Linked DNA regions of Canis lupus familiaris. The protein of the gene in region 1 purifies or fractionates together with the protein of each later gene. This does not show direct contact. Links are inferred from orthologs where the notes say so. Each region holds a gene or a part of one and is shown in the gene's direction. Other genes may lie near its edges. The genes, in order: KAT7, ING4 and BRPF3.

Region 1 (5,911 bases):
GATCAGGACAAAGGCTTGAAGAGATGAACTTGCCCAAAATGCTATAGCTAGTTGGTATGGTGGAGTGGAATTGAATGAGAGTCTTGATTCCAGGAGCTAAACTATTCTATACTATATATTTAAAAAATAATTTTTATTCATGAGAGACGCAGAAAGAGAGAGAAGGGGGCAGAAACATAGGCAGAGGGAGAAGCAGGCTCCCTGCAAGGAGCTCGATGTGGGACTCGATAACAGATCCTGGGATCACGCCCTGAGCCAAAGGCAGACGCTCAACCACTGAGCCACCCAGGCATCCCTATTCTATACTATTTTGTACCTCTATACCTGATCTTGGCCCTTTAGCTTATATTTTATTTAATAAAATAGGTATTTTACCTATTTGTCAGATTTTCTGAGGCATAAAGAGGAGGGTATACAGCTAATAAATCATATGGATAATAAAACCCAAATTTCCTTCTTCTCTAATTGTTTTATTATCTCTTAAAATTGGGGATCAGATTCCAGTCCTGTTCGAAATTTGCAATCTTTTGGCACTGAGGAGCCTGCTTATTCTACCAGAAGAGTGACCCGTAGTCAGCAACAGCCTACCCCAGTGACTCCGAAAAAATACCCCCTTCGTCAGACTCGTTCGTCTGGCTCAGAAACAGAGCAAGTGGTTGACTTTTCAGATAGAGGTGAGTGAGTATGGGATGATTTGATCAATTACAGAGAAGATCTGGTCAATTTTCTCTTAAGGAAGGCTTGGGGCCACTCTGCAGATAGATGCTTTATACTGACCAAATTCAGCTAGGTAAATGCTGTTTACCTGATTGCTTTCTTGAATATCTCACTGAGGATAGTTTTGTATTAGAGTACTCTTGAAGACTAGAGTAATTAAATTATTAGATTGGACCCATAATAGGCAAAAGGAACTGGAGCCCTTTTACCTATAGATGAAGAAAGTTTGAACCACATTTTCTTAAAGTCATGCTTGTCAGTCCACTTATCTCTGTTTTTTGAGGAGGAGTGATCTTTGGTAATGAGGGATGGTGAGCTGTTGAGATTGTGATTGACCAGCCCAAATTAGGCCTTAGAGCAGCAATTACAGACTGAGGAGCATATAGCCTGCCAATATGCTCTGTTAGTTTGCTTGCACAACGTTTACCTTTTTTTTTTTTTTTTTTAATTTATTTATTTATTTTAGAGGCAGAGATGGTGGGGGGCAGAAGGAGAGGGAGAGGTACCAACAGATTCATGTTGAGCGGAGCCCAAGGTGGGGCTTGTTCTCAGGACTCCCAAGATCATGACTTGAGCCAAAACCAAGAGTTGGACGCTTAAGCCACTGTGCCTCTTAGGTGCTTCAGTGTTTACATTTTTAGAAGTTTGTTGCCAACATTTGAAAATAGGGAATTTCACATCAAAACATAAAAACCTGGGTTACTAGTTTCTTTTTTTTTTTTTTTTTTTTTTTTTTTTTTTTTTTTTTTTTTTTTTTTTTTTTTTTTTTTTTTTTTTTTTTTAAATTTTTTTAAACTTTTATTTATTTATGATAGGCACACAGTGAGAGAGAGAGAGGCAGAGACACAGGCAGAGGGAGAAGCAGGCTCCATGCACCGGGAGCCCGACGTGGGATTCGATCCCGGGTCTCCAGGACCGCGCCCTGGGCCAAAGGCAGGCGCCAAACCGCTGCGCCACCCAGGGATCCCACTAGTTTCTTTTAAAAACTGGAAACTCTGGGAACGTGTGGTGGCCATTCACTCACAGCATTGATTACTGGAGTGGAAAAGTAGTTGTCTCCTTAAGGTGGACAGTTGGTTCTCTATTTGGCCTTGCCCAGCAAGTGTAGGCATTTGGTTTACAACCCATGATTTACAATCTGAATTGTTAGATTACTGACACGCTAGCTCAAGAGTCAGGTTCGTTCACACTCACACCAAGTCAGTCATCAAGGAGGACACCTGTTTTCATTTCTCTTCCATCCTGTGTGTCTCCTGGAAGGAGAGTTGGATAGTCATTTTAAAGAAAAATTTACTTCCATCCAGTTTTGATTACCTGTGATGGGGGGCTTATGAGAAGCACAGATAAGTGAAATATATTAGGTAAACCCCAAAAACTGGATTTTACTTAGGATGTAAAGTAGCACAAAAGAATGATGTTAATTTCATTTTCCTAGTAGCTTTATAGCAGATAAGTGGTTAAAAGTCACTGGTTAAATGATAGCCATAAACTCTTCTGAATAGTAAACCTCTAAATGAACCCCATTTATGAGCTCTCCCAATTGCTTTGCTTTAGAAACTAAAAATACAGCTGATCATGATGAGTCTCCACCTCGAACTCCAACTGGAAATGCCCCTTCTTCTGAGTCTGACATAGACATCTCCAGCCCCAACGTGTCTCATGATGAGAGCATTGCCAAGGACATGTCCCTGAAGGACTCAGGCAGCGATCTCTCTCATCGTCCCAAGCGCCGTCGCTTCCATGAAAGCTACAATTTCAATATGAAGTGTCCTACTCCAGGCTGTAACTCCCTAGGTGAGTGTGACCAGCTTTCTGACACCTGTGTTCTATGGTTTTTGCCCTCTGAAATTAGGATCATGAAGAAATGTTTCATCTTCTCTTGTGATCTAGCTCTTTAGGTTCTTCAGTGGTGCTCAGAATATCAACTGGGTTGCCCACTCAAACAAGAAGTATTTTTGCTTCTTGGTCTGTTGTCAATAAGAATAGATCTGGTTGCAAGGACATTAAGTGGGATGCACCCACCAGTTTATTGAAAGCTCCCTGTGAAAATTTCCTCCTCTTTCCTGCAAAAATAAAACCGAAGACCAGTTATCTTCAAAATGGCTTGTTGTGTGGTACATAGTTTGAGCTTAATGCAGAATATTGGTTGTATGGTTAGAGCTGATAAGGAAATGAGAAAAACAGATTTCTTCTTGCACGGCCATGAAACTAAAAGGGCACAGATGAGACCCTGGTCTTTTGTGACTTTGGTGGTTGTAGGTCTTCTATATTTGATAAATATAAACCAGACAAGTATCTCTTCTCAGATAAATGAGTATCTCAGTGTTTTTTTTTTATGACCTTTACCTTTTACTGACAGATTCTTATGATGGTTTAAACCTTATTAACGCTCCTTAAGTGAGCTTCATTCCAAGTGTTGGGCTTAAGTTTTTGTCTAGAGTTGGAAGGCACTGATTGACATTATAGGCTTTTCTCCACTGAGTCTGCTTCTCAAATCTGTGAACTTTTCAACCTGACCATCAGGTTCAGAAAAAAGAGCAGAGTAAGCTGTTGCTTTGCAGGCCCACAGTATGTTTTCCCTAGCATTTAATTTATCTGGATCTTTTCCTGGTCTTCGCACCACTCTCTCAGATAATTTCAACTCCTCAGAATGCATAGAGTATATAATAAGTTCCCCTAAACCATCACACCAGTCATCACTCAAAGAAAAGAATTGTTTCAGGCCTAAATCAGTATCCTTGGGTAAATGATGAAAAACTAAGAATAGACATCATCATATAAACATTAGTATTTAAGAGCTAGCTAATGTACTTTAAGATGGTAAGGGGATCTACTTTTCATATGGCAAGGGAAGAGACTCAAGCTCTGCTAGTCACTATCCATGCTTCCCTAAATTGTTACTTTTATGTACTCTGTTTGCCACATACCAGACACCGTTTGAGTTTCTGGGGGTGTAGCTGTGAACATGTCAAACAAAGTTCCTACTGTCATGGAGCTTATAGTCTAATTGGGAAAGGCAAGACAGGTGGATACATAATACGTCAGCTTAGAGATACTTCCTTGAAGGAAAATGAGGGAGTGCTGAGAGGGTAAGGTATTGTGCATATATACAAACCATACACACACAAACAGGTGGTAAGGGTATGGGACACAAGAATGCTTAAGCAGTTTGAAGCACACTTACGGGCCAATATGCCTAGGACAGAGCAACCAGAATGGATAGGAGGAGATGAGGTCTGCGTTGGACCTGACGGTATGTTATTTATGCTCAGTCCTTAACCTCCTTGGAGTAGATGAAAGGATAAATATAAATCTGTTGCATCAGAGGAAAGTTTACTTTGACTTCTCGTATTAATATACTGGCAAAGTTTGAAACATATGAACCTGAACTTCCAAAATTATTTTTTGATAAGGGGTGCCTGGCTGGCTTGGAGCATGCAACTCAATTTTAGGATCATGAATTCAAGCCCCATGTTGTTGGGCATAGAGATTACTGAATTAAAAAAAAAAATCCATTGCTGAAATTGTCTTTGATCCTGTTCCACTCTTTATGTTCAGCAAAATAATGTCATTAATTTTTTTTTTAATGTCATTAATTTTTAAAAATAATTTTGGTGTAAAAGTATTCTGTGCCTGTGAAAACTGAAAACCCTACAGGGAGCCTTGAAATGCATAAGTAAAAGTTTTCCTTTATTCATATCGCCAGATATAAAATTATTCTTGGGGGTTTTTTATGAATGGTTCTAGCAAGTGTGCATGTGTGTGTAACACATTTATACACACACACACATATATATATATATATATATATATATATATATATATATATATATTTCTTTTGTGTTATCGCAAAAGGGAAAATATAATGGTTGGTTTCGCATCTTAGATATTTTACTTTACTGGGATGCCTGCGTGGCTCAGTGGTTGAGCATCTGCGTTCGGCTCAGGGCATAATCCAGAGTCCCGGGATCGAGTCGGACATCAGGCTCCTTGCGTGGAGCCTGCTTCTCCCTCTTCCTGTGTCTCCACCTCTCTCTCTCTCTCTCTCTCTCTCTGTCTCTCATGAATAAATAAAATCTTTAAAAAAAAAAAAAAAAGATACTTAGGGTTCCATCTGTTTAAAGAATACAGAGAATTCATTACATTGATAGTTTATAAATTTTATATTTTTATTTTTTAATAAAGATTTTATTTATTCATGAGAGAGAGAGAGAGAGAATGAGAGAGAGAGAGAGGTAGAGACCCAGGCAGAGGGAGAAGCAGGCTCCATGCAGAAAACCCGATGTGGGACTAGATCCCGGGTCTCCAGGATCACGCCCTGGGCCAGAAGCAGGCACTAAACCACTGAGCCACCCAAGCATCCCATAGTTTATAAATTTTTAAAATTGTCCAGTATGGATTGACATTTAGATTATTTCTCATTTTATCTATTTTGAATAATACTGTAATGGAAGCATTATATGTATGTATTTTAGTGTCTTGCTAGAAAACCTGTAGGAATAAATTTATAGCAGAATTGCTAGATCAATAAATTAACTGTTCCTTTTTAACACTTTTAATATAGACACATTAAATTGGTTTTAGTTCATATATTCTAAAATAAGACATGACTTGAATAATTTACCCAGAAGTTATAGATACATAATATTTTAGAAATATCTATAGAAGTATGTCTAAGAAATATCTATAGAAAAAGGAGGGTTTCTATAACATTGACACTTTACATTTTATAATGATGTTGGATTACTGAGGGTAGTTTTTTCTATGCAAGATAAATTGAATGGATCTCCAAAAATCACATTTTTAATAATATAGTCCTGGAGAAATGGCAATCTACATATCATGTATTGATTCCTTTCTCCCCCAATATGTGAATTATTTTCATTCTTTAAAGCTTACTCTAAATCATGTATGACTTTTTAAATCCCATATGATTTTTTAAATCCCGCTGTCTTCATTAACCAGAAGTTTTGTAAACCCTTTGGTTAAAGAAACTTATAAAAAGGAAATAATGTTCAGTTCCCTCTGTGTTTCCCAAAACCACATGAAAAATAGAAAAGTGAAGAGGTATATCCCTTAGATAAAATGAGCTTTCTATATTATTGCTATTAATGTCCTCTCAATAAGAGTGCCTTGTGGTAACTTCCTATTTATTTCAGTGTTTAGTTTTAGGTGTACAATATAATGATTCAGC
Region 2 (6,611 bases), on another chromosome or scaffold:
TTGTCCTTATTTTTAAATCATGGCAGATTTCAGAGAAAAGAGAAAATGAAAAAAAAAATCAGGAAACCAGTTGTTATAAAGCAATTTAAAATGAAGAAAAAAAAACTTATGTACAAACCAAGGGGTGTTTTTAGAACCTTGTATAGAAATAAATTCGTGTAAAAGGATCAGAGGCAGTGGAGCTGCTGATGTGAGCGAGCATGGGAAGAAGATACCTGGGGAGATGTTCAAGGATTTACACTAGAATGTGTGTATGTGAAGAATGAATGCTGTTTGATGAGGCTCTATGTGTGTATCCCCAAATGTGGAAGGGAAAGCTTTGGTACTTCCAAGTGAGATCTTGGTTTATGAGGATTTCTTTCTTTCTTTTTAAAGATTTTATATATTCATGAGAGGCAGAGACACAGGCAGAGGGGGAAGCAGGCTCCATGCAGGGAGCCTGATGTGGGACTCCATGATCATGCCCTGGGCTGAATGCAGGCGCTAAACCGCTGAGCCACCCAGGAATTCCCAGTTTATGAGGGTTTCTAAAATCTTGTTTGTGGCCTGCAATGCCTACATATTATGAGAGCAAGATTTCAATCGTGTTAATAAACCACTAAGCTCCCCATTAAAGAAATGGAAGCGTGCTCTCTTGAAAGGGCCTATACTCCTGCCTGAGCATCACCAGGCTCAGTGCTAATTCCAGCTGGCACAGTGTGCATACATTTGTTATCCATATCCATAGGTTTGCAATGATGGAAGCCATAACCAGAACTGAGTAACAATGCAGGACAGTCGTGCTGAGAAGTAGAAGTAGTCAGGAAACCTCAACTTTTCAGCCCTGGCTCTACTGCCAACCAGTGGTCACTGAGAGGCGTCCAAGACTAGATAGCCTCCAAGGTTCATTTTGGGATATTAAAAGCCATTAAGCACTGAAAAGGTTGACAAAGCTCTAACATTGACTCACATGGCTGTCTTCTGTATACTGCTGGGCAACCATGCCCATTACCAAGAAGAATGTGGATAGTCCATGAAATCATGCCTACTTAAGTTTTGGGCTCAGCTGGTCTCTTGGGTATTGAGGCATCCAATACCTCTCAATCTGCAGTGTGAGTCTAATGAATGTATTACCTGAGACGAAATCTGTCAATGTCTTGCTAGCTTCTGAATACTTTTTTCCCCCTGCTCTTCATCAATCACTGAAAATGCCCTGACAGCCCTGTCTTCACCACAGGTAATAGAACCAGAATCTACTAAAGGATTCACTCACAATCATTGCAAGAACTCTATGAGGTAGGTACTACTAGTCTCCATTTTACAGAGCAGGACATAAGCACAGAAGTTTACCATATCCGGGGTCAAGACACTTGGAGTGAAGTCTTCTAGATCCAACTACTGCATCCTACCACTAAACCTGAGATTTCATCTTATCCTTCTTCACACTTTTGGCCCAAATCAGGTGGCTGAAAAATCTTTCATTAAAACGTTGCCTTGTGGCATTGACAACAGTCACGAATATGTGAGTTAGGAAGGACAACAGCCTCCAAAAGCTTTCTTACTAATACCACTATTAGGCTATGGGCTTTGAGCTGCTTCTCCAGTGTGGTGGCAGCCTGTCAGGCTCTGGACTGGTTTCCGTCCCCATATAGAGACCTCACTGTACCCTAGTGGAGCCCATCCTGGTACCCATCCTAGTACCAGGATGGGAGCTGGCCCGGTTGTGACAGCCATGGTGCTAGTTAACATCAGATATAAACTGGAAAACAAAAACAGCGGAAGGGTGGCGGGGGGGGTGGGGGGTGGGGGGTGGTGGTGGTGGTGGAAGTATAAGAAAAGAAGAGGGCAAGGCTGGAAGTACTATGTCACTTTATACGAGAATGTAATCAAAGATAAAAGGCCAGGAACCCTGGCAAGAGTCTTGGAGAATTACAGCTTTATTGTGTAAGGCTTAGTATGTAGATTTTATAAACAATTATTTTTTTTCCATGTTAAAAAAATTATCCCGGTGAGCTGACGCTCAGGCGAGTGAACAGAAATGCGAATGGTTTCAATCTCGCAGCACCAGCTAGGCCTCTCCAACTTCGTTAAGATACTAGCTACCTTGAAGGAAGTCTTGGCTCAGCCAGGACCTGCTGTGGTCATTAGATTAATATCCTGTAAAAAGGAGAAGAGTCCCCATTCGCTAAAAAGCGGTATTTCTGGACCACAATCCTAAAGAGACGGGGGTGGGGGCGGTGGGGGTGGGTGGGATGAGGGTTGGTTTCCCATCATAACCCCACATCTCCGTTTTGGAGGGAAAAAAAAAAAAGTTTGATAGGGAATGCAAAATGGCGACCCGCAGTGACGTCATGCCTGCCTCGGTCGCGTACCGGGGCCTCAGTAAGGGCGGAAGCGGGCTAGAGCCACCTCAGGGCGCCTCGGCACCCGCAGCCCCGGCTACCTACGCAAAAGGGAAAGTTTTAACGTCGGGCGGATGTGTCCCCGCGGATAATTGACTGAGGGCGGAAGCTCTCCTTTTAAGGGCGGAAAGGCTCCAACCCACGGATAATAGCTTCAGCGCCTGTTGCGTTTCAGTCACTTCCGGGGCGGATCGGAAGTTGCTTTGTTTTGCTTCAAGATGGCTGCGGGGATGTATTTGGAACATTATCTGGACAGTAAGAGCAGGCTGGAGGAGGGGGTCAGGGGTCATAGAGTGGTGGGGGGGGGGTCGGGGCTGAGCTGCTGTACGGCCCCGAAGTCCCGGTGGTCAGAAAGTCCCAATTGTGAAGGGGTTCCGTGAAAGAAAATATTGAAGGGTGTGAAGAAAGAGGGGGCGGGGCAGCAGGGTCGAGGCCTGGCTTTTGGGTGTAGACGAGGGAGGGGCTGCGCGGTAGGGCTGAGGGGGGTGTCTCTTGAGGGGCTAATGGGCAGAGCCGGGAAGGTATTTGCCGACCCCATCTCCAGGGTCTCCAGCCTCAGGATATCCATCCCCCCAACCCCCCCCCCCCAATCCTTCAGGATCGGTCGTTTTAGTGTATCACCCACTGCCATTTGGAGCAGTGCCAAAGACTTGCTCGCAGCTTCTCTGCTCTGTTCTTTCTCAGAAACGGTTTTTCAGTGGGGATCGGGGGTGGTTAGTGACTACTGTCAGATGATAAACTGGAACGCTTCTCTTCTTCCAATTCCTACCAAATGGAAATCTGGTGCTACGCTTATGCCATTTGTGTAACCCACCCCTTCACAAAGCCTGTCACCCTTATGCGCTTACATTTGTCTTAGTATTGAGAGTCATTCATTCATTCATTTATTGAGGCCTTGCTCTGGGTCAGACATAATGGCAAGTACTGCGGAGATACCAAAATGATGACACAGACCCTGCCCTCCAGTGCTTATAGTTTAGGAGGAAACAGATTCTGCTAATCAATAATTATAAAACTGACAAGTGAAATAATAGAAGTACATTACAAGGACAGTTGGTAGCACTGGAGAAAGAGGGGCAAATTACTTGGGGACGTAGGTAAAACTTTACCAGAGGATGTGATGTTTGAATAGAGTTTTGAAGATCGAGTGTTTGCCAGTGTGAAGAAAGAAAGGAAACTGCTGGTTGGGGAAAGCATCAGCAAAGGTATTGTGGTGGGTTTGTGGCAGGTCAAGGAATAGTGAAGTCAGTGCTTGCTGTATAGGACTCTTAAGGTGGACGATTGGCAAGTGAGCCTGGAGAAGGAGGTGGGAGCTAGGTTGTGCAAGGTCTTTTAAGCCAAGCTAAGAGGCTTGCACACTGTAGATAGTCAGGAACCAACAGATTTTAAAAACAGGTTTCAATAAAGGAAAATAACTGATGTATGGTAAGTTCAGGTCTCAGAGAGTGACCGAAGTCTTTAGGAGCTAAAGGGACAGATGAAATGGCTGGGTAGTTGAGAGAGAAGGAAGAATACAAAGTGCCTCCTTGATTTCCTGCTTGGGAGGTGAGGTAGATAGGATACCTTCAGCAAGATAGGGAATTCAGGAGTAACAGCAATACACCTAACTCAATTTAAACTTAAGCACAGGCATGGCGATTGTATGAGAGTGAATGAGATCGAGATCATTCAGGGAATACAAGCAAAGTGGGAAATGAGAGGGTTAAAGTATAGGCCCAAGAAAACATTAGCATTTAAGGGACAGGCTAGCAAAACGTCACTGTTGGAATTATCAGAAAGTATAGGGTGAGATTTGGAATCCTAAGAGGAAGAAAGTTACTGAAGGACAGAAGATGGTGCCAACTGCTGCAGATGTATTTTTTAAGATAGGACATATAAAAGATCATTTGTTTTGGAGCTATTTTATTTTTTTTTTATCTTTTTTTTTAAAAATTTTTTTTTTATTTATTTATGATAGAGAGAGAGAGAGAGAGAGAGAGGGAGAGGCAGAGACATAAGCAGAGGGAGAAGCAGGCTCCATGCACCGGGAGCCTGACGTGGGATTCGATCCCGGGTCTCCAGGATCGCGCCCTGGGCCAAAGGCAGGCGCCAAACCGCTGCGCCACCCAGGGATCCCTGGAGCTATTTTAGAAGTTTGAAATGCTGTCATGGGAAGAGATTTTTTCTTTTATGGAGAGACTTAAGTATATATGTCTTTATTCAGGTATTTATTGAAGACCCTCTGTACTCGAGTCATAGTAAAATGAGAGAGAAGCTAGATGTGTCCAGTCCTTTTGGAGGGTCAGGGAGATAGATACCAAATAACCAGCAGTCCTTCTGGAGGGTTAGGGAGATAGATACCAAATAACCGGTTACACAACTAATTCCTTAACCACAGCTGGATAAGTGCCCAAAAGGGTAGAGCTAGAATAACTTGACAGCATAATCCAGGGCACTTGGAGTCTGGAGAAGTCAGAGTTGAGCTGAACTTTGAAGAATGAACAGGAATTCAGTAGGAAAAGAGGTATGGTGGAGGTGGGATGAAGAACACCAAGCAGTGCATTCTGGACAGAGAAGGCAGTGCTTGGAAAGCTGGGGAGCAGGATGAGCCCTGGCAGGTTGAGGGCACTCAGAGAAGGCCAGCATGATTAGAGCAGACGGCACACAGGGGGATTGACCTGAATCAAGGCTGGAGTAAGGTGAGCATGGGGCAGAAAGTACAAAATAGGAACAGGAATTGTGTGATAGAAGTTATTAGTTATAAAAGCAAAGAGGGGGACTTGGTGAGATTTGCATTTTTTTAAGAGAACATTCTGACTACTATATAGAAAAGAGATTAGAAGTATGCGTGTGTGATGAGTGGAAGGTTCCACTCATCAGATACCAGGTAGGTATCTGGATTGCGGGGAAGGAGCTTGGAGGAATACAAGATTGAGGGCAAGGAGCTTGGAGGAGTACAAGAAAAGGAGGGACTGATTGGTAAAGTAAGGTCACTGAAGGGGCAAGTGATGGGAAAGCTGTAAAGAGGTGGCAGAGTTAATTGTGCAGAGATGCAAACACAGCCTCCACTGACAAAGCAATGATGGGTGCTGTTCCAGATAAATCCAACTGTTCCAAGGAAGGGAAACTGAGTCCCACTGGACCTGTACTTTAAAAGCAGCTATCCCAGGATCCCTGGGTGGCTCAGCAGTTTGGCGCCTGCCTTCGGCCCAGGGTGTGATCTTGGAGTCCCCAGATCAAGCCCCACGTCAGGCTCCCTGCATGGAGCCTGCTTCTCCCTCTGCCTGTGTCTCTGCCTCTCTCTCTGTGTGTCTCTCATGAATAAATAAATAAAATCTTTTAAAAATAGGGGATCCCTGGGTGGCGCAGCGGTTTGGCGCCTGCCTTTGGTCCAGGGCGCGATCCTGGAGACCCGGGATCGAATCCCGCGTCGGGCTCCCGGTGCATGGAGGCTGCTTCTCCCTCTGCCTGTGTCTCTGCCTCTCTCTCTCTCTCTCTCTCTCTCTCTCTGTGACTATCATAAATAAATAAAAATTAAAAAAAATATGTTTAAAAAAAAAAAAAGAAAAATAAAATAAAATCAGCTATCAGGCCTATGAAGTGCCATGATTCTCAGTTTTTCTTCTCCCTAGGTATCGAAAACCTTCCCTTCGAACTGCAGAGAAACTTTCAGCTCATGAGGGACCTGGACCAAAGAACAGAGGGTATGTATAGAGTAGGGATTTTGAGTGTATAATGAGATTGTACGATCACTTCTTTTTCTCTTTGATGTTACTGTATCATCTGGTCTGAACTGGGGAACTGTGGCTCCTCTTTTTTTACTCTCTTATATTCTTAAAAGGAGAACGGTGAAGATTTGCACTTCTAGATCAGCTTTTCCATAATAAGTAGAGTATTGTGATGATGCCTCAAGAATTCAAGGATGCTATGTTCTTTGTATCTGCGAGAGGAATTAAAAAAGAAGTCAACTCTAGAATCATTTCTATTCTCTATATTCAATATATCTATAGGAAGACTGGGATGTTTCTACCCCACTGGATTGTTAATGTTACTATAAAAAAAATTCAGTGTGGAAAAAAAAAAATTCAGTGTGGCTGTAGACCACAAGTCATGTTGGTAGAGAAGCTCTTAAGAAAGAAAGAGAGAAAAAAAAAAAAAAAAAAGAAAGAAAGAAAGAGAGAAAGAAAAAACGAAGAAAAAGTAGCAATTAACAACAGGATCTCTACACTGTATTCTTCAACCTTATAGAAG
Region 3 (5,911 bases), on another chromosome or scaffold:
AAGGGCTGAAGGAGGGGTGTGGAGAGGAGGAAGAGAAGGAAGAGGTGGAAGAGGAAGAGGAAGATGAAGGCCAAGGTGGGGTAGGTGGCCCCCTCAAGGGACTGCCCAAGAAGAACAAGATGGCTTTGAAGCAGAAGATCAAGAAGGAGCCAGAGGAAGTGAGCCGAGATACACCCTCCACTGTCCCCATGGTCACTGTCCCACAGATACCTTCTTATAGGTAAGCCTGCCCAGGAGGGCTCCCCGTGGACTGATAGTCTCTTCTTGGGTTGGTGTTGGCCCTGAGCCAGGAACTCTTTCCCCAAGCATGGTTGGTGAATGTTTGTTCTCTTCTGTGCCTTCTCCTTTGGGCCCCAATCTGGTTTGTGGTTTTGATTTTGCCTTGAGAGCAATGTATTTCCTGTGCTTTAAGGTGAGACAGTTAAGTGGCTTAGAAACCCAGGTGAAGGGTGTCTAAGGCAATATTTTCAACAGGTGCACAAGTGACATTTGAGACAGGATAATTCTTCACTATTAGGACTGCCTCATACATTCCTCAATGTTTAGCATCCCTGATCTTTGTCCGTTAGTGCCATTTGCATCCCCTCCCTCATTGCTTGGTCTTTGTGACCGTCTCAAACACTCCCCACATATGTTACCAAAACCTCCTGTGGTGATAGAAGTGAGAACCACACGACTGCTGTCCAGAAAGCTCTGTCTGGGAATGATGGGGACTTTGTGTGAGGGAGTGGTGGTGTGGGGAAGACATGATCTTTCTCTTCTTGAGAAGCTTCTAGATTTAGGGGAAAGGATCACTTGGTTCAGTTGTATAGCTAAGCCACCTTGGTCCCCAGTGAGTCTTATAGAGAGACCATTGTACTTATTTTTAACCATCAGAGAAGTAGCTGTTGGAGGGCAGAAAAGCAAGAGACTGGAAAGATTTTCCAGTAGAAGCTCATCTCAAGGGTGATATTCTTTAGAAAGTATACAGTGTTGGAGCAGAAAGGAATATTGGAAATTATTCATCTAATGTAGTCCTTGCACCTTCTCCCACACCCCCAGATGAAGAATCTGCAGCCACAGGAGGTAAAGTTGTTCATGCCTTTGTTCATTCACTGAGGTGTTTATTGAGTACTTACTATATGCCAAGTCCTGTTCAAAGGGCTGGAACCAGGTGGGAAGCTATAGAACCTGACCACAAGCTGGGGCTCATGATGCCATCAGTCTCTGTTCCTGCTGTTTGCCTTCTCTTGTTGAAAAGGATAGGGAGAAGTGAGTGCTGGAGGGTAGCAGGGAATGAGTTGTAAGGGGAACAGGCAACCAGACTTGTCAGTCTGGGAAGGAGAAAAAGAGCAGAGAAGGGCAGGAGGGAGAGGCTCCTATGGCGAACTATGGCTGGAATTAGAATTCAGTCAACTGGAAATGACTTGTAGTCACAGAGCTGTTGTAGGCTCTTCTCTGATGTTGAGTTGGTCCATGCTTAGAAACATTTGTAGGGTGGCTATGCCCTGGGACTAGTCTCTTTGGTTGTCACATCTGCTCTGATAGATGTGTCTTACAGGGGTCAGCATAGCATGCTGGCTTAGAAAACAGACCAACCTGCTTTTGAATCCTGCTCCTGTTGCTAACTACCTGTGTGACTTTTGGCAAGTTACTTCTTTGAGCCTTATTTCTTTCTAAATGAACCTCATAGGGTTGTTGTGAGAAATGAAGGAGATGATATAAATAAAGCACTTGGTACAGTGCCTGGTAAATAGTAAGCGCTCAATAAATGGTGGCTGCTGCTGCTGTTTTATTCTTCTTCTTCCTCTCTCTACCTACACAAATGCTAGGGGGACACTCCATGGCCAAGAGGTTATAGAGGGAGGGGGCTGCCTGCATCTGGGCAGGTATGCTTGGCATGGGCATTGGTGGGGATTTCTTCTTTGGGGAAAGGCTTAGATCTTGATTTTGTAAGCTTGGCTTTGGGGCAAGAATGTCTGTGGAAATGCATAGGGCACTTAACTTCCTTTCAGTGGATAGAGATGAAGAGAAAAAGTGGGGGGCACACAACAGGAGTATTGAGGCCTTGCTTATTACTCTTACTCTGTGAATAACCAATTTGGGGACACAGGGTGCTGTAGCAGAGAGATCACGGATTCAAATCCCATTCAGCTCCACCATCCTTCTGGCCACATTAGTGACTTTGACAGTTCATCCAGCCTCTGTTCCTAAGCTGCCTTTCCATCTTTTGTTACCATGAGACTGATGTTACCCACCTTGCAACAGGACTATTAGGATAAAGATTATAGGCTCTTATTAATTCCCTCCCCTTTTGCCTCTACCTCTCCCACCTGCCACATATTATTAAGTCCTGACCTTAAGACTTCTCTATTGGGTTAATTGAGCCAGCTAAGTTTTCAGATTCTCCGTCCTCTTATCCAGTTTTTTCTTTTCTTGTTTGTTTCAAAATTAGACACTTTTAGGCTGCTGAGATCGTTAATGAAAAACCAGAGGTCAGACGGCTCTGAAGTGTTGCATTTGAGCTCAGAGAGCCATAGCCTGGCGTACTTCTAGTTTTCCTTCCAGCTTGCTTGTGGACTATTCTCTGGTCTGGGGGGACCCTCAGCCACAGGGCGCAGGAAGTAGTGACCACATTGCCCATAGCTTACTCAAGTTCCTGCTCTCTTTTCCTGCCTATATCAAGAGTTCAGGGCACAGGCCTATTTCCCAGGAGTCTAGGACCACAGGAAACAGGGTTCCTGGGAGAGAGTTCTTCTGGAGAATCAGGACTGTAAGATAGGGGGGTGGAAAATCAAGTGATACATCTATCACATGCTGAATCCGAGCTGCTTAACTTTGCTTTCTTTTTTTAAAGCCTTTCTCTGAGGTGAGGCAATTGGCCACTTGATTCCATCTTCTTTCATATGTAAGGTTCAGAAATGAGCTAGGGTCTGAAGAGGAGGCTGTGATCAGGGCTGCCCACTGACCTTGTCTTTCACTTCCCTGTGCCTCTACTCAAGGTTGAACAAGATCTGTAGTGGTCTCTCCTTTCAGAGGAAAAACCAGTTCATACAGCGGCTTCACAACTATTGGCTATTGAAGCGGCAGGCACGGAACGGCGTCCCTCTCATCCGACGCCTGCATTCCCACCTGCAGTCCCAAAGAAATGCTGAGCAGGTAGGTGAAGTGATTGAAGGTGGTGGAGGAGGTGGAGAGTGAAGGAGGAGGAGGGATGGTTGGGTCACCACTCCCTGAGCCCTCTGTAGAGCCTTTGTGTCAATAGGCAGTCACACTTCCAGATGGCATCTCCCAGGAACGACCTCCAGCACTGTAGAGCTCTTGGTCCCAGACAGCAGCTCCTCCTGGATGGGAGAGGGTTGATTTTGGAGCAAATTCTAGAAGAGAGTAGAGAGCAAGCCCAACTTCCAAGTATGTGGGGAAAACCTGTAGACATGGCAGAAAGGAAAAAATGGGTTTAATGAGGGCCAGGTGGCCATGTTGCATAAATTAGGACAAGGAGCATTTTTCTTAAGACACTGTACTGACATCTGCCAGAAAATGTTTTGTAGAAAACATGCAAATGTGCCATCTAAGTTGTAGCACAGAGCCTGGCCAGTTGTGGTGACCTTTTAGCCGTGGAACCTTGGTTGGAGGTCTCCTGAGAGACTTTTTTTTTCCCCTTTTTTTAACCGTCTTTAGTTTTTTCTCCCTCCTCACTTGCTCCATTACTTCTGCCTTTAAATATTTCCACACTATCACCGCAAAGATGAAGCAATCATTTACGTGACTCTGATGCCCTCTAAGTTCTGTCTGATTTCACTTTTGCCTTTTGTAACTAAAGTCCTGAAGTGTAAGTCTGTGTCTCCTCCCTCCTTGAGGTGGGGAGGATTGCCTGCTCCCCTGTAGCCTCCTTTGGAACGTCAACCACCTCCTCCCAGCCCAGCAAGCCTTACCTCACATTCTCACCGTAGTGGCCGATGGGCTGCATTTTCACCATGGATCACTCTTAGAGCTTCTCCATGACCCCATATCCCTCCTTCTCCACCTGGCTGACTGCACCTTGTGCTGACTTGACCTGTTACTCCTCAGTAGTAACATTCCCAGGGCTCTGATGCCTGCCCGTTTGCTGGGAGAGCTCGTGCACTCTCATAGTTGTAAATAAGCGTGGTAATAGCTCCAGATTTCTTGTCCTCATCCCTTTTCTCTGCCTGTAGTCCCTCTGGGGCAAAGGAACTGCAGATGTCCATGTAGATGTTGTTTCCTAGAATTCAGATATCGGAAACTGAATTCTTTATCTTTCTTCCTCTTGGTAAACTTATTTCTCCATTATTATTCTTTTTTTAAAGATTTATTTATTTGAGAGAGCGAGAGCAGAGGGAGTGGCAGAGGGAGAGAGTCCTTAAGCAGACTCCCCACTGAGCACAGAGCCTGACATGCAGCTCAACCCCACGAGACCATGGCCTGAGCCAAAATCAAGAGCTGGACACTTAACTGCCTGGGTGGCCACCCAGGCACCCCTGCCCATTATTGACATGGAACCTTCTGCCTCCTGACCTCAGACATTCCCCATCTTGGAGTTACTTTTGATTCTTTCCTCCATAACAAGACACAGTTAATCATCCCTTATGCTATTTGGGGCCAGTTTATTGGCATATGGTCTTTTGTCTCCATTCTACAGCTCACCCGCTCACCCAAATTCCCATAATTTCAGCAATAGCTTTCGGGTAGTCTCCCGCCTCTAATTCTTTCTTTGCTGTTCAACTGATACTGTCTTACACACCATTTTCCAGAATCTATTCCTTTTCCAGAACATAGTCCCCCTCTCCTGGCAGGCCACATGCAGGTTCCTTTGCCTGGAGTTGAAGCTTCTTACCAGCTAAATCCTGGAGCTTCCTTGGCTACTGTGGTTCTCCAGCCTCTCTGCTCTGGCCGGGCCATTTTTTCTTTCTTCTTTCTTTTTTTTTTTTTTACCAAGCAGAGAGTCATTTTTTTCTGCCTTCACACTTCTTCCCTGTGGTCCCTTTGGTTCTAGCAGAGGCCTTTCTTACTGCTTTGTTCACCTATGTCCATCACTACATGTGAAATCCTAGTAAGATTGCTTCTGTGGGAAGCCTTCCCTGACCTAAAATCAACCCTCTCAGATCCTCTTTATTTATCTTCTCAACATTTTATATTCAGTTTACCTTTGGGTTTTTATTATGTTTATGCTACTGTGCCCTTGTGTGTCCAACCCTGGGCCTCTTCCTTCCCCCAACTCTAACCTCTTTCTAGGGCAGGAATCACTTTTTTGAGTACTTGTAGTGTTTTAAAGTATGTTCAAGCCAGCTAGTACAAGCTGGTAATAAGAATTTTACTTTGTTTTTTAGACAAGTGGCAGCTTTAGGATGAAATTCTTTCTACCTCGAGGTATTGGTTTCCTTCTGAAATTCTTTTCCAGCCCTAAGGGGCACAGCTCCACCACCCCCCTTGGTATCCTCAGGAGGAGGGGAAGTCGTCCCAGCTCTCACTCCAGTGGTGCTTATTGTGGGGCAGTTAAGAAGCATTGCTGGAAGGCTAAGGGAGTGCAGGAGAAAGGCATGGGGCAGAGAGGGCAGAAGGGCTCTCAGGAACATGGGTCAGCCAGGGTGTGGGGCCCTTACCTGCCGAGGCCCTGTGAGGCTAGAATAGGGAAAGGGCTCTGGACAGGAAGCGGGCCTCCAGCAACTCCTTCCTCTCCCTTCCTTCCTGCAGCGAGAGCAGGACGAGAAGACAAGTGCAGTGAAGGAAGAGCTAAAATACTGGCAGAAGCTCCGGCACGACTTGGAGCGGGCGCGGCTGCTGATTGAGCTGATTCGGAAAAGAGAGAAGCTCAAGAGGGAACAGGTGAGGAAGATCCCCCAGCCTCAGGGCTTTTGTTCAAGATCTTTTTCTCCTACTGTCAGTGTGGCATGGAGAAAGCCAGGAGATCTGC

Evidence for each region.
Region 2: the proteins of KAT7 (region 1) and ING4 purify together in Homo sapiens (affinity purification with western blotting; 6 studies listed by BioGRID and IntAct, with this or other methods). This does not show direct contact. The link is inferred for Canis lupus familiaris from reciprocal best matches to the Homo sapiens genes KAT7 and ING4.
Region 3: the proteins of KAT7 (region 1) and BRPF3 purify together in Homo sapiens (affinity purification with mass spectrometry; 3 studies listed by BioGRID and IntAct, counting the BioPlex papers as one, with this or other methods). This does not show direct contact. The link is inferred for Canis lupus familiaris from reciprocal best matches to the Homo sapiens genes KAT7 and BRPF3.

What each region holds. Positions count from the first base shown.
Region 1 is NC_049230.1:25,798,081-25,803,991, forward strand, and holds part of KAT7 (histone acetyltransferase KAT7), read left to right. Parts: intron 1-497; coding exon 498-674; intron 675-2,271; coding exon 2,272-2,511; intron 2,512-5,911. UniProt on the Homo sapiens protein: Catalytic subunit of histone acetyltransferase HBO1 complexes, which specifically mediate acetylation of histone H3 at 'Lys-14' (H3K14ac), thereby regulating various processes, such as gene transcription, protein ubiquitination, immune regulation, stem cell pluripotent and self-renewal maintenance and embryonic development.
Region 2 is NC_049248.1:7,719,582-7,726,192, reverse strand, and holds the start of ING4 (inhibitor of growth protein 4), read left to right. Parts: upstream 1-2,546; 5' UTR 2,547-2,599; coding exon 2,600-2,636; intron 2,637-2,715; exon of another isoform or gene 2,716-2,777; intron 2,778-5,992; coding exon 5,993-6,064; intron 6,065-6,611.
Region 3 is NC_049233.1:5,498,056-5,503,966, forward strand, and holds part of BRPF3 (bromodomain and PHD finger-containing protein 3), read left to right. Parts: coding exon 1-220; intron 221-2,981; coding exon 2,982-3,138; intron 3,139-5,691; coding exon 5,692-5,823; intron 5,824-5,911. UniProt on the Homo sapiens protein: Scaffold subunit of various histone acetyltransferase (HAT) complexes, such as the MOZ/MORF and HBO1 complexes, which have a histone H3 acetyltransferase activity.